Linked DNA regions of Caenorhabditis elegans. The protein of the gene in region 2 interacts with the protein of the main gene of each other region in a pairwise test. Each region holds a gene or a part of one and is shown on either strand. Other genes may lie near its edges.

The links.
Region 1: the proteins of F25B3.5 (region 2) and pph-4.1 interact in a two-hybrid assay, tested with the Caenorhabditis elegans proteins (one large-scale study listed by BioGRID).

The regions. Positions count from the first base shown.
Region 1 is NC_003281.10:12,345,306-12,353,118, forward strand, and holds pph-4.1 (Serine/threonine-protein phosphatase 4 catalytic subunit 1), read right to left. Parts: upstream 6,032-7,813; 5' UTR 6,026-6,031; coding exon 5,925-6,025; intron 5,870-5,924; coding exon 5,746-5,869; intron 5,688-5,745; coding exon 5,562-5,687; intron 5,487-5,561; coding exon 5,208-5,486; intron 3,317-5,207; coding exon 3,075-3,316; intron 390-3,074; coding exon 260-389; 3' UTR 18-259; downstream 1-17. Other genes in the region: FAM172 family protein homolog Y75B8A.31, read left to right, coding at 6,343-6,519, 6,588-6,851, 6,905-7,024. UniProt on the Caenorhabditis elegans protein: Protein phosphatase which plays an essential role in meiosis and in early embryonic mitosis.
Region 2 is NC_003283.11:9,568,209-9,571,984, forward strand, and holds F25B3.5 (uncharacterized protein), read right to left. Parts: upstream 2,090-3,776; 5' UTR 2,084-2,089; coding exon 1,437-2,083; intron 1,358-1,436; coding exon of another isoform or gene 1,354-1,357; exon of another isoform or gene 1,346-1,353; coding exon 1,090-1,345; intron 1,051-1,089; coding exon 853-1,050; 3' UTR 518-852; downstream 1-517. Other genes in the region: F25B3.4 (Serine/threonine-protein phosphatase), read right to left, coding at 292-437, 487-499.

The DNA.
Region 1 (7,813 bases), on a different chromosome or scaffold from region 2:
CGGTTTTAAAAATGAATAGCATGAAATAAATTTTAATACTTTTTTTTGTCGAAAAAAAAATAAATCCGTAAAATTTGGAGGGGGGTGGACATTTACAGAAAAATGTGTGTGTGTGTGTGGAAAATAATAATTAAATATTGAAATATTTTTGTGGGAGCAAAAAAAAAAGGAAAAAAATGGTGTTTCGGCGATATAAAAGGGGGAGATTCTTCGGAATTTTTGGGCGAGAAAGAAATTTCGAGAAAATTTCGAGAAAAAATTAGAGGAAATAGTCGGCGTGCGGTTTTTTGGCCGGTGCTCCGCGATTTTCTTGTGGAGCAGCTTCGAAAATTGTGAATTCCTTGTTGAGATTCTCGTCGAGCTCGAGAATTGCCGCCACGTTGCCGCATCTGGAAAATTTTCATTAAGTTTTTTTTTACTGCAAAAAAAGCTCAAGTTTTCCGGGAAATTCAATTTTTCTTTTGAAACAAATTTTTGGGTTTGATCTACAAAAAATGCGGGATTTTTTTGTCCAAAAAATGTGACGTCAACACGTTCTTAATCATGCAAAATCAGTGCGTCACTTCTCCCGCATTTTTGTAGATCAAACCGAAATGGGACACTCTGGCACTACGTGATTTTGGCGGGAAAATTTTAAATTTTCTGGAAACAAATTTTGGCGGGAAAATTTAAATTTTTTGGAAACAAATTTTGGCGGGAAAATTCAAATTTTTTGGGAACAAAGTTTGGCGGGAAAATTCAAATTTTTTGGAAACAAATTTTGGCGGGAAAATTCAAATTTTCTGGAATCAAATTTTGGCGGGAAAATTCAAATTTTCTGGAAACAAATTTTGGCGGGAAAATTTAAATTTTCTTTTAAAAACATATTTTGACGGGAAAATTCAAATTTTTTGGAAACAAATTTTGGCGGGAAGTTTAAATTTTTTTGGAAACAAATTTTGGCGGGAAAATTCAAATTTTTTGGAAACAAATTTTGGCGGGAAAATTCAAATTTTTTGGAAACAAATTTTGGCGGGAAAATTCAAATTTTTTGGAAACAAATTTTGGCGGGAAAATTCAAATTTTCTGGAATCAAATTTTGGCGGGAAAATTCAAATTTTCTGGAAACAAATTTTGGCGGGAAAATTTAAATTTTCTTTTAAAAACATATTTTGACGGGAAAATTCAAATTTTTTGGAAACAAATTTTGGCCGGAAAATTCAAATTTTTTGGAAACAAATTTTGGCGGGAAAATTCAAATTTTTTGGAAACAAATTTTGGCCGGAAAATTTGAATTTTTTGGAAACAAATTTTGGCGGGAAAATTTAAATTTTCTTTTAAAAACATATTTTGACGGGAAAATTCAAATTTTTTGGAAACAAATTTTGGCGGGAAAATTCAAATTTTTTGGAAACAAATTTTGGCGGGAAAATTCAAATTTTCTGGAAACAAATTTTGGCGGGAAAATTCAAATTTTCTGGAATCAAATTTTGGCGGGAAAATTCAAATTTTCTGGAAACAAATTTTGGCGGGAAAATTTAAATTTTCTTTTAAAAACATATTTTGACGGGAAAATTCAAATTTTTTGGAAACAAATTTTGGCGGGAAAATTCAAATTTTTTGGAAACAAATTTTGGCGGGAAAATTCAAATTTTCTGGAAACAAATTTTGGCGGGAAAATTTAAATTTTTTGGAAACAAATTTTGGCGGGAAAATTTAAATTTTCTTTTAAAAACATATTTTGACGGGAAAATTCAAATTTTTTGGAAACAAATTTTGGCGGGAAAATTCAAATTTTCTGGAAACAAATTTTGGCGGGAAAATTTAAATTTTCTTTTAAAAACATATTTTGACGGGAAAATTCAAATTTTTTGGAAACAAATTTTGGCCGGAAAATTCAAATTTTTTGGAAACAAATTTTGGCGGGAAAATTTGAATTTTTTGGAAACAAATTTTGGCGGGAAAATTTAAATTTTCTTTTAAAAACATATTTTGACGGGAAAATTCAAATTTTTTGGAAACAAATTTTGGCGGGAAAATTCAAATTTTTTGGAAACAAATTTTGGCGGGAAAATTCAAATTTTCTGGAAACAAATTTTGGCGGGAAAATTTAAATTTTCTTTTAAAAACATATTTTGACGGGAAAATTCAAATTTTTTGGAAACAAATTTTGGCGGGAAGTGTAAATTTTTTTGGAAACAAATTTTGGCGGGAAAATTCAAATTTTTTGGAAACAAATTTTGGCGGGAAAATTCAAATTTTTTGGAAACAAATTTTGGCGGGAAAATTCAAATTTTTTGGAAACAAATTTTGGCGGGAAAATTCAAATTTTTTGGAAACAAATTTTGGCGGGAAAATTCAAATTTTCTGGAATCAAATTTTGGCGGGAAAATTCAAATTTTCTGGAAACAAATTTTGGCGGGAAAATTTAAATTTTCTGGAAACAAATTTTGGCGGGAAAATTCAAATTTTCTGGAAACAAATTTTGGCGGGAAAATTTAAATTTTCTTTTAAAAACATATTTTGACGGGAAAATTCAAATTTTTTGGAAACAAATTTTGGCCGGAAAATTCAAATTTTTTGGAAACAAATTTTGGCGGGAAAATTCAAATTTTTTGGAAACAAATTTTGGCGGGAAAATTTAAATTTTTTGGAAACAAATTTTGGCGGGAAAATTCAAATTTTCTGGAAACAAATTTTGGCGGGAAAATTTAAATTTTCTTTTAAAAACATATTTTGACGGGAAAATTCAAATTTTTTGGAAACAAATTTTGGCCGGAAAATTCAAATTTTTTGGAAACAAATTTTGGCGGGAAAATTCAAATTTTTTGGAAACAAATTTTGGCGGGAAAATTCAAATTTTTTGGAAACAAATTTTGGCCGGAAAATTTGAATTTTTTTGGAATCAAATTTTGGCGGGAAAATTTAAATTTTTTGGAAACAAATTTTAGCGGGAAAATTCAAATTTTCAGAAAAAAATTGTATTTTTTCCTAAAAATTATACTTTAAATGATAAAAAAGTGACCAAAAATTTTAATTTTTCGTCTTTTTCACGAAAAAAAAATTTCCGTTTTTTTTCCAAATCCATCCCGTACCGATAACAATAGTTGGGCGCCGACCAAACAGTGAGCACTTTCTCGTTGAAATGCCATTTATATCCTTCCATAACCAATTGATGAGCTCTACAGATCAAATCGACTCCGTTCGTTTCGCAAAACGTTTTCGACGCGTCCGCTCCGAATAGATAACCGGCTCCGCGTGGACTTAGGCCCCATCCAACATTTCCTTCTTCGGGGTCCGACCACAGTAGATCACACATTGGACCGTCGTGGGGAACCTGGAAATTTTCAGAATTTTTTTTCGCTTTTTTAGCACAAATTTATACGTTTTTCTATCAAAACGAACAAAATTTGATTAAAAAATTGATTTTTTTTTCAATTTTTGAGGCGGAACGGTGGTTTTGCAAACCTGCGGCGCGGTTTGATTTCTGTCGATTTACGGTGGAGTTTGTGCTACACGTGGATAAGCGTTTTTTTTTTTTTTTCGAATTGTTCTTCAGTTCTGTAATTTTTTTTGTAAACACTATTCAAAAAATATATATATATGGACCCAATTTTTAATGTTGAACACCAAAAAAAATTGGCAAAAATGGCCCAAAACTGTAAATTTACTATTAGAAAAAATTAAAAAATTAATCGACGCTTGTCCGTGTGTATTACAAAATTCTCCGTAAATCGAAATATAGCAAACCGCAGACTTGCAAAACCTTCGCCCCGCTGGAAAAAAGTGATTTCTCGAAAAATTTAACGTAAATTTTGAAATTTCGCTTCAAAATATCCGAAATAGTATCAAATTCAGAAAAATAAAAAGATTTTTCAATTTTGAATTCCCTCCAAAATGAGAACTCAAACTCCGCCCACTCCATCTGATTGGTTGAAAAGTGGGCGGAGCGAATCGCTGATTGGTTGAAGACAAAAATCGCGTTTTTGTGGTTTTTTTCTGATTTTGAGACTATTTTTTGAATTTTTTAGTATTTTTCGGGGAAAAAATCGAAATAAATGAAATAAAAATTAAATTGGTCGATTTTGATGAGAAAAAATTAGAAAAAAGTCTGAAAATTAAAAAAAAAAATTTTTAATGAAAAAAACGGAAATTTTTTTTTAAACGGAAATTTTCGGAAATTTGCCGATTTTCTGGTTATTTTCATTTTCGGCAATTTGCCGATTTGCCAGAAAATTTTAATTCCGGAAATTTGTCGATTTGACGGTTATTTTCATGATCGACAAATTGCCGATTTGCCAGAAAATCTTAATTCCGGAAATTTGCCGGAAATTATCAATTCCAGCAATTTGCCGATTTGCCAGAAATTTTCATTTTCGGCAGTTTGTCGATTTGCCGGAAATTTTTAATTCCGGCAATTTGCCGTTTTTCCGGCGAATTCGGCAAATTTCCGACTTGCCGGAAATTTTTAAATTCCGGCAATTTGCCGATTTGCCGGAAATTATCAATTCCAGCAATTTGCCGATTTGCCGGAAATTATCAATTCCAGCAATTTGCCGATTTGCCGGAAATTTTTAATTCCGGCAATTTGCCGTTTTTCCGGCGAATTCGGCAAATTTCCGACTTGCCGGAAATTTTTAAATTCCGGCAATTTGACGAATTGCCGGAAATTTTCAATTTCGGCAATTTTCCGATTTGCCGAAAATTTTTAAACATGGCAATTTTCCGATTTGCCAGAAATTTTTAATTACGGCAATTTGCCGATTTGCCGGAATTTTTTAATTCCGGCAATTTTTCGATTTGCCGGAAATTTTCAATTTCGCCAATTTGCCACAAATTTTTTAATTCGAACATTTGCCGATTTGCCAGAAAATTTTAATTCCGGCAATTTGTCGATTTGCCGGTTATTTTCATTTTCGGCAATTTGTCGATTTGCCAGAAAGTTTCATTACGGCAGTTTGTCGATTTGCCAGAAATTTTTAATTCCGGCAATTTGTCGATTTGCCGGTTATTTTCATTTTGGGCAAATTTGCCGGTTTGCTGATTTGCCGGAAATTTTTAAATTCCGGCAATTTGCAGATTTGTCGGTTATTTTCATTTTCGAAAATTTTAAAACTTTCCGGCAAATTCGGCAAAATGCCGGAAATTTAAAAAATTGTAATTCACCGAATTTTAACCGAAATTCAAAGCAAAATTCCATTAAAAACAGCATATTTTTTGCGTTTTACCTCCTGCTTCCGATCAATAACACGAATCTGATCCATAGTACTAATCGACGGGGATAATCCACCATGAACACAGAAAACCTTCCCATCAATTACAGCGGCAAGTGATAAGTAGTCGAAAACTTCGGTACAATGTTTCCAAACAGACGCATTTCCATATTTCCGAAGGCATTCATCATAGAACCCGTAGACTTGAGTAATCTGGCGACTTTCGTGATTTCCACGGATCAACATCATTCGATCCGGATAGCGAGCTTTCAGTGCGAGAAGTAGAAGGAATGTCTGGAAAAATATCGATTTTTTGGGAGTTTTTTTTGCAATTTTTTCGCCAGGAAAATTGCAAAAAAGCGGGGGCACCTCCACAGAATAGAAGCCTCGATCCACGAAATCTCCGAGGAACAAATAGTTGGTGTTCGGCACTGGTCCGCCGACTTTGAAGAGCTCCATTAAATCGTAGAACTGGCCGTGGATGTCTCCGCAGATCTGGAAATAGAATTTAAAATGGAAATTTTGATTTAAAAATCGATTTTATCCAACCAACCGTCACCGGAGAATCGATAACCTGGACGTTGCCCTCTTCCGCTAGGATTTCACGAGCTTTTGCGCAAAGTGTTTTGACATCTTGCTCCGCGATGAGCTCACATCTCATCAGCTTTTCTATGTGGCTGAAAATATTTTTTTTTTGTTGATATTTTATTGTTTTTATATCAAAACTGCTACCGATCCAAGTCATGAGTTGTTAGCTGGTCCGATGGGCCGGAAGTCGGTGAGTCGACACGTGAAAATGTGGAATTTGCAGAGTCGGTGCACGCCAGAGCCATTAAAAGCTGTAAAATACGTTGTAAATCGATTTTTTGAATTAATATTTAATTTAAAAACGAAAAAACGAAAAAAACCAATGAAAACAGGCGAAATCGACTTTAAATCCAGAGTTTTTCGTGCAAAAATATAAATTCAGTGTAATATTGGCATTGTGCCAGATTGCCAACAGAGCGCGATTGCGCCGTGTGGACGAGAGAAACCTCGGTCGCGGCCAGGAAATTTTTTTTTTTTTTTAATTTTAAAAATTGTTTTTTCGGAAATTTTCTCTGTTCTAACCAGTTTTTTTGCGAATAATTCAAATAAATTTCAGTGAACAATGTCAAGTTTGGCGAAACTCGGGTACTTTTTCGACGAAAAAGGCGTGCTGAAAACGGAGAAGGACAAAAAACCCTTCAAATTCACTACACAGGAGGATTATGAAGAACTGGGAGAAGCAGTTGATCTGGAAGTTTATGAGCTTCTGGAGACACGTTGTGGGCTGAAGAGAAAGGCGGTAAATTAAGAAATTTTTAAAAAATGGAAAAAAAAATTTAAAAATCAAAAAAAAAAATTTTTTTTCAGCTAAAACTTCCAGGAAAAACCGACGAGGATGAGGATCTAAGCTTCATTTTTGTGTCGAAAAATTTCAAAAAAGCTGCAAATCTTCTAGTATTGATCCACGGAAGCGGTGTCGTCAGAGCCGGACAATGGGCTCGTAGACTCATTATCAATGATAATTTGGAGTGTGGAACTCAGATTCCGTATATCGAAAGAGCTATTGAAAATGGATGGGGTGTTGTGGTGATGAACACTAATTTGAATGAAAGTAAAGATCAGGATTTGAAGGTGTGAAAAAACCCGGGAAATTTCGAAAAATTCGCTGAAAAATCGATTTTCAGTACTCCCGCACACCTGTCGAGCACGCTGAAACTGTCTGGATAGCGTGTATTGAGCCATCGAATGCTAAGAGCATCTACGTGGTGGCTCACAGTCGTGGTGGTTACGACACAGCCAGTGTGGTGGGATTTTCAGCACTTTTTTGGCAAAAAAAAGCGAAAAAATCGATGTTTTTCCGATTTTTCAAGGCGAAAATCCCTGTTTTTCTGAATTTTTTAAAGGAAAATGCAATTTTAATCTATTTTCAGCTTTTTTTTTGGCAAAAAAGAGCGAAAAAACGACATATTTCCGGATTTTTAAGGCGAAAATCCCTGTTTTTCTGAATTTTTGAATAAAAATGCGATTTTAAACTGTTTTCAGCTTTTTTTTGGCTAAAAATGAACGAAAAAATTGACTTTTTCCGAATTTTTAAGCCATAAAACCCTGTTTTTCTGAGTTTTTGGATAAAAATGCGATTTTAAACTGTTTTCAGCACTTTTTTTTTGGCAAAAAAGAGTGAAAAAATCGACTTTTTTTTTGATTTTTTAAGGCAAAAAAACCCTGTTTTTTTGAATTTTTGAATAAAAATGGGATTTAAACTGTTTTCAGCTTTTTTTTGGCTAAAAAAGAGCGAAAAAACGACTTTTCTCCGATTTTTTAAGGCAAAAATCCCTGTTTTTCTGATTTTTTTAAAGGAAAATGCAATTTTAATATATTTTCAGCTTTTTTTTTGGCAAAAAAAGCGAAAAAACGACATATTTCCGGATTTTTAAGGCGAAAATCCCTGTTTTTCTGAATTTTTTGAATAAAAATGGGATTTTAAACTATTTTCAGCTTTTTTTGGCGAAAAATCGACATTTTCGCGATTTTTTAAGGCAAAAACCCCTGTTTCAGGTCTCGCCACGACAAAATTGTGTTCAAGGAATAAGAAA
Region 2 (3,776 bases):
TTTCAAAAACGTGATGTTCCTATTTTTGTTATTCCCTGTGTGAAATTTCTCCAAAATGAAAAGCCATGTCGACTTCGAACCAATCAGCTCTATACACTCCATCTGATTGTCTCGAAAATGAATGGAGCGAATCGCTGATTGGTCACAGTTATCCTTTTGAAGGAAAATCAAACAGGGAATTGAGCCAAAATTGAAACATCTTGTTTAAAAAAAACATTTCGTCTCTAAATCTCTGAATTTAGTTTTTTTGAAGCGATATTCCCATTCACGCTTTGTAAAACTGTTACAAACCATGCTCTTATTCTCCGGAGTGATTGCGGTCTTGCTGTTGCTCTGTGGCACACGACGCGTCTTCTCAGTTTCATTTGCAATTTCCGGTTTGGTCTCCAACTCCGTTCTTTCCGTTTTATCAACGTTATTAGTTTTCTGTTTATTTTCTAAATACACTCGTTTTCTTCTCTGATTTTAATAATCATATAAACTCACTTCCTTGAAGCATTGTCAGATTCTCTTGTTGTTACAGTTGATTGAATTTCTTTATGAATTTCTTTTCGGCAAACTGGGAATGAATTATTTTGGGAAATCGGGACAAAATGGGCATTGAAACGTGGAAACAAAAATACACGATGCAAAAGATAAGATCTCGGGCTGAGAAAATTATTAAAGGTGACACGTGAAATATTGCAAAATGGGACCGTGGATTGTGAATTCAATTATGTAAATTATTGGAATAGAGATTTTTTTTAAATAGAAAAAGGATACAGGTGTAGAAAAACAAATGAATTAACGTTTGAACTGGTGCTATTCAACTAATCAATTAAACCCCTAGAGTCGGATTTCAAAAAATGTAGATTAGTCATTGAATAGTTCATCCAGAATTGGCATAAAGAATTCCTCATAGAATCCGTTTGGATTCTCGAAATCTTCACCGTTCTTCTCGCTCTTTTTTACAGCGTCATTGAAATTTTCTAAAACTAGCAATTGCAGTTCTTCTTTTGATTTTCCACCAACTGTCCTTCCAAGTTGAAGTTTCAGAAAGAAGAAGTTTATCTGAAAAATAAATGTATAATTATATAAAACAATATTTACCTCTTCATCTGTCACTCCCAAAATCTGTCCAAGTAGGCTTTTTTCCTCCGGTTCAATATCTTCTCTGATCAAAAATCGTTTAATAAGAACACGAGATTGATAAATTCTAAGTGCAGACTCGGTGTTTTTTTCACACAAAAGCTCTTCGGGGATTCCTTCATCAGTGTTGTCAAAGATTTTGAAAAATGGCGAAACATTTGGATTGTTGTCATCTACTCCAGGAAGGAAGATTTCAATCCATTTGCTGCCTTCCTCCCTGAAAAATTAGCTAAAAAATATTCGCTTTCTTTTTAAACAAAACTAAATCAACATTGCTGATAAGACACATTTAGTTCAAAATAACTCACCGATAAAGAATAGATCGTCGTGATTCCAAATTTTCGTTCGGAGAATCTATAAGTTGCATATACAACATTGCAGCAACTGTTCTTGTTACTGCTTCGAGAATCCCTGCCTTTGAAAAAATCAATTCCAAAATTGGAACAGCAGGGGGTTTGATTACTGGAGGAATCAGTTGTCCACGCTCTGGTTTTTTCATCTTCCCGATGTTTCGTGTTTGTTCAAGCAAAGCCATTTTCCGTTGTTTCTTCGATGCTTTCCGAAGTTTGAGGCGACGAATCTGTGGTGACGTCTTCAATCGAATTGGCATTGGTGTTGGCGGTCTTTCCAAATTTTCTGCTTGTTCGTAGATTGCACGTAACAAAATATCAATCGGTAACAAACGGTTGATCTCTTCCATGTCCTCGACGTGAGTTTTTCTTTTGAGGTTCTGTAAGTTCACTTGACGAAGCTCTTGGACTCGATGTCGACTTGGTCGGAATCCGTAAGGAGGGGTAAATACAGAAGATCTGAGAGAAGAAGTTGAGACGAGACCCGCTTGTGGGCAAGCAATAAGTGGTGATGCAATCAAAATTCGTCGTTTTTTGATTGGAGTTGGTGAAGCATGGAACTTCTCTATAGAAGATTGAATAGATTTTGTGATTGATGGAGTCATCTGTAATAAAAGAGATGTTTAGTGATAATGCGATGATTATGCAAGTAGTAGAAATATTCGGAGAGCAAAAAAGAAGTGAAAGCGATAAGCGTCAGAGAAAGGTATGTGCTGTATATGCACACATATGTACACTCCAATAAAGGATTACAACTTTTTTAATTTCAGACTTTGGAATTGTTGATGTGGAATCAGTTGGAATGTCTATGTGGTACAGATAATACCAACAAGAACATGTGTTTGTACTGAGCAAAAAATAAATGTATATAATGGAAAACTGTTGTCCAGATAGGTGGCTACAGTTTGAATCTGGCAATAATGAGTCACGTGAGTGATGTCATCGCGGGGAAAAACAGGAGAGAGAAACAATGAGGAAACATCACTGGATCTTCGAGAAAACTGTTACTTTCCGAACATCGGGCATAGAGCAATGTTTTGAAATCTAAACTGGTTTAATAGATATGTTTTACGTATTAGTTCATTGGTCGAAGTTGAAATCACTGAGAATCCGGTTTCCAAGAAAAAGAAAAGGAAATGATTTTGTCTATCTCTACATTTTGAACTTATAAAGTGCTGTCATCTATTTTGAAAGCATGAAAACCGTTATTGAAAAATTTGAAATTCTATGTTAACACTAAAATTAATAAAATACAAAAAGGTATAACTATAAAATTGAAATATTTATATTGAAAAGGAATAACTGAATTGAAAGCTATTGCTTTTCATCTAATGTAAACATTTAGACAAAGAACTAGTGAAAGGAAAGAATATTCCAGAAAATCTTTTCAAGTTTGTTTTTTATGGAATGTAGCTCTTCTACTAGAATTGATGATTTTAGTTTCAAAAATTTCACCAGCTCCGCCCAAATTTTCTCACAATGATCCAGTAAAGGCCACCGAAGTCACCAATGTTTAGTACTCGTTATCATTATTTCTCGAATGACGAAAGAAGAGCCAGCTCTTATTCCCAACAATACCGCTTTCTCTTATCACTTATAAGAAGGAACGACAAAAAAAGAAAGGCACATGATATAATAGTTGGAGTCCAATAACGAAAAAAGGATTTTGTCATATGATGAAGGAACAGATACTTAAAAAAAAATAAAACAATGACACAGTTACAACGATCCATGTCAAGCTATCCCTATTACCGTTAAGCTCAAGAGTAATAGACTTATGATTAAACTGTTACACTTTGCACAAGTAAGCGTAATGACAGATTTCTTGAAAGTGACTAATAGTTCAGCTAAGTAGATTTAAATACCAAATGACCTTATGAACTTGAAACAGGAATAGTATTTCATCAAAACTAGATGGGATATTGTCACATGGTCATTTGATTTGTTACTTTCACTTTTCGTTAAACAGATTCTTGAGTTTTGATGCCCTATTTACATGAAATAATATACTTACTACTAATTCAAAATTTTCTGGGATGGAAATTTTTTGCAAATCGCAAAACGCGTCAAAATTCAAACTAGAAACCGAGCCAAATGCAGTCACCATATACGTGTGTATCAGTCAGTGGTTAGAAACATTGAAAAGCAAAACCAAACAGATCAGTGAGAGTATGATGAAACCATAACATTTTCGGAAAGCAAAGTCACAGATTGTGAGCGTATGTGTTTATCACCATTCACACTACCCCCTCCCTTCTCAACGCTCTTTCCGTTCCCCTGGAGGAAGAAGGGGATGTG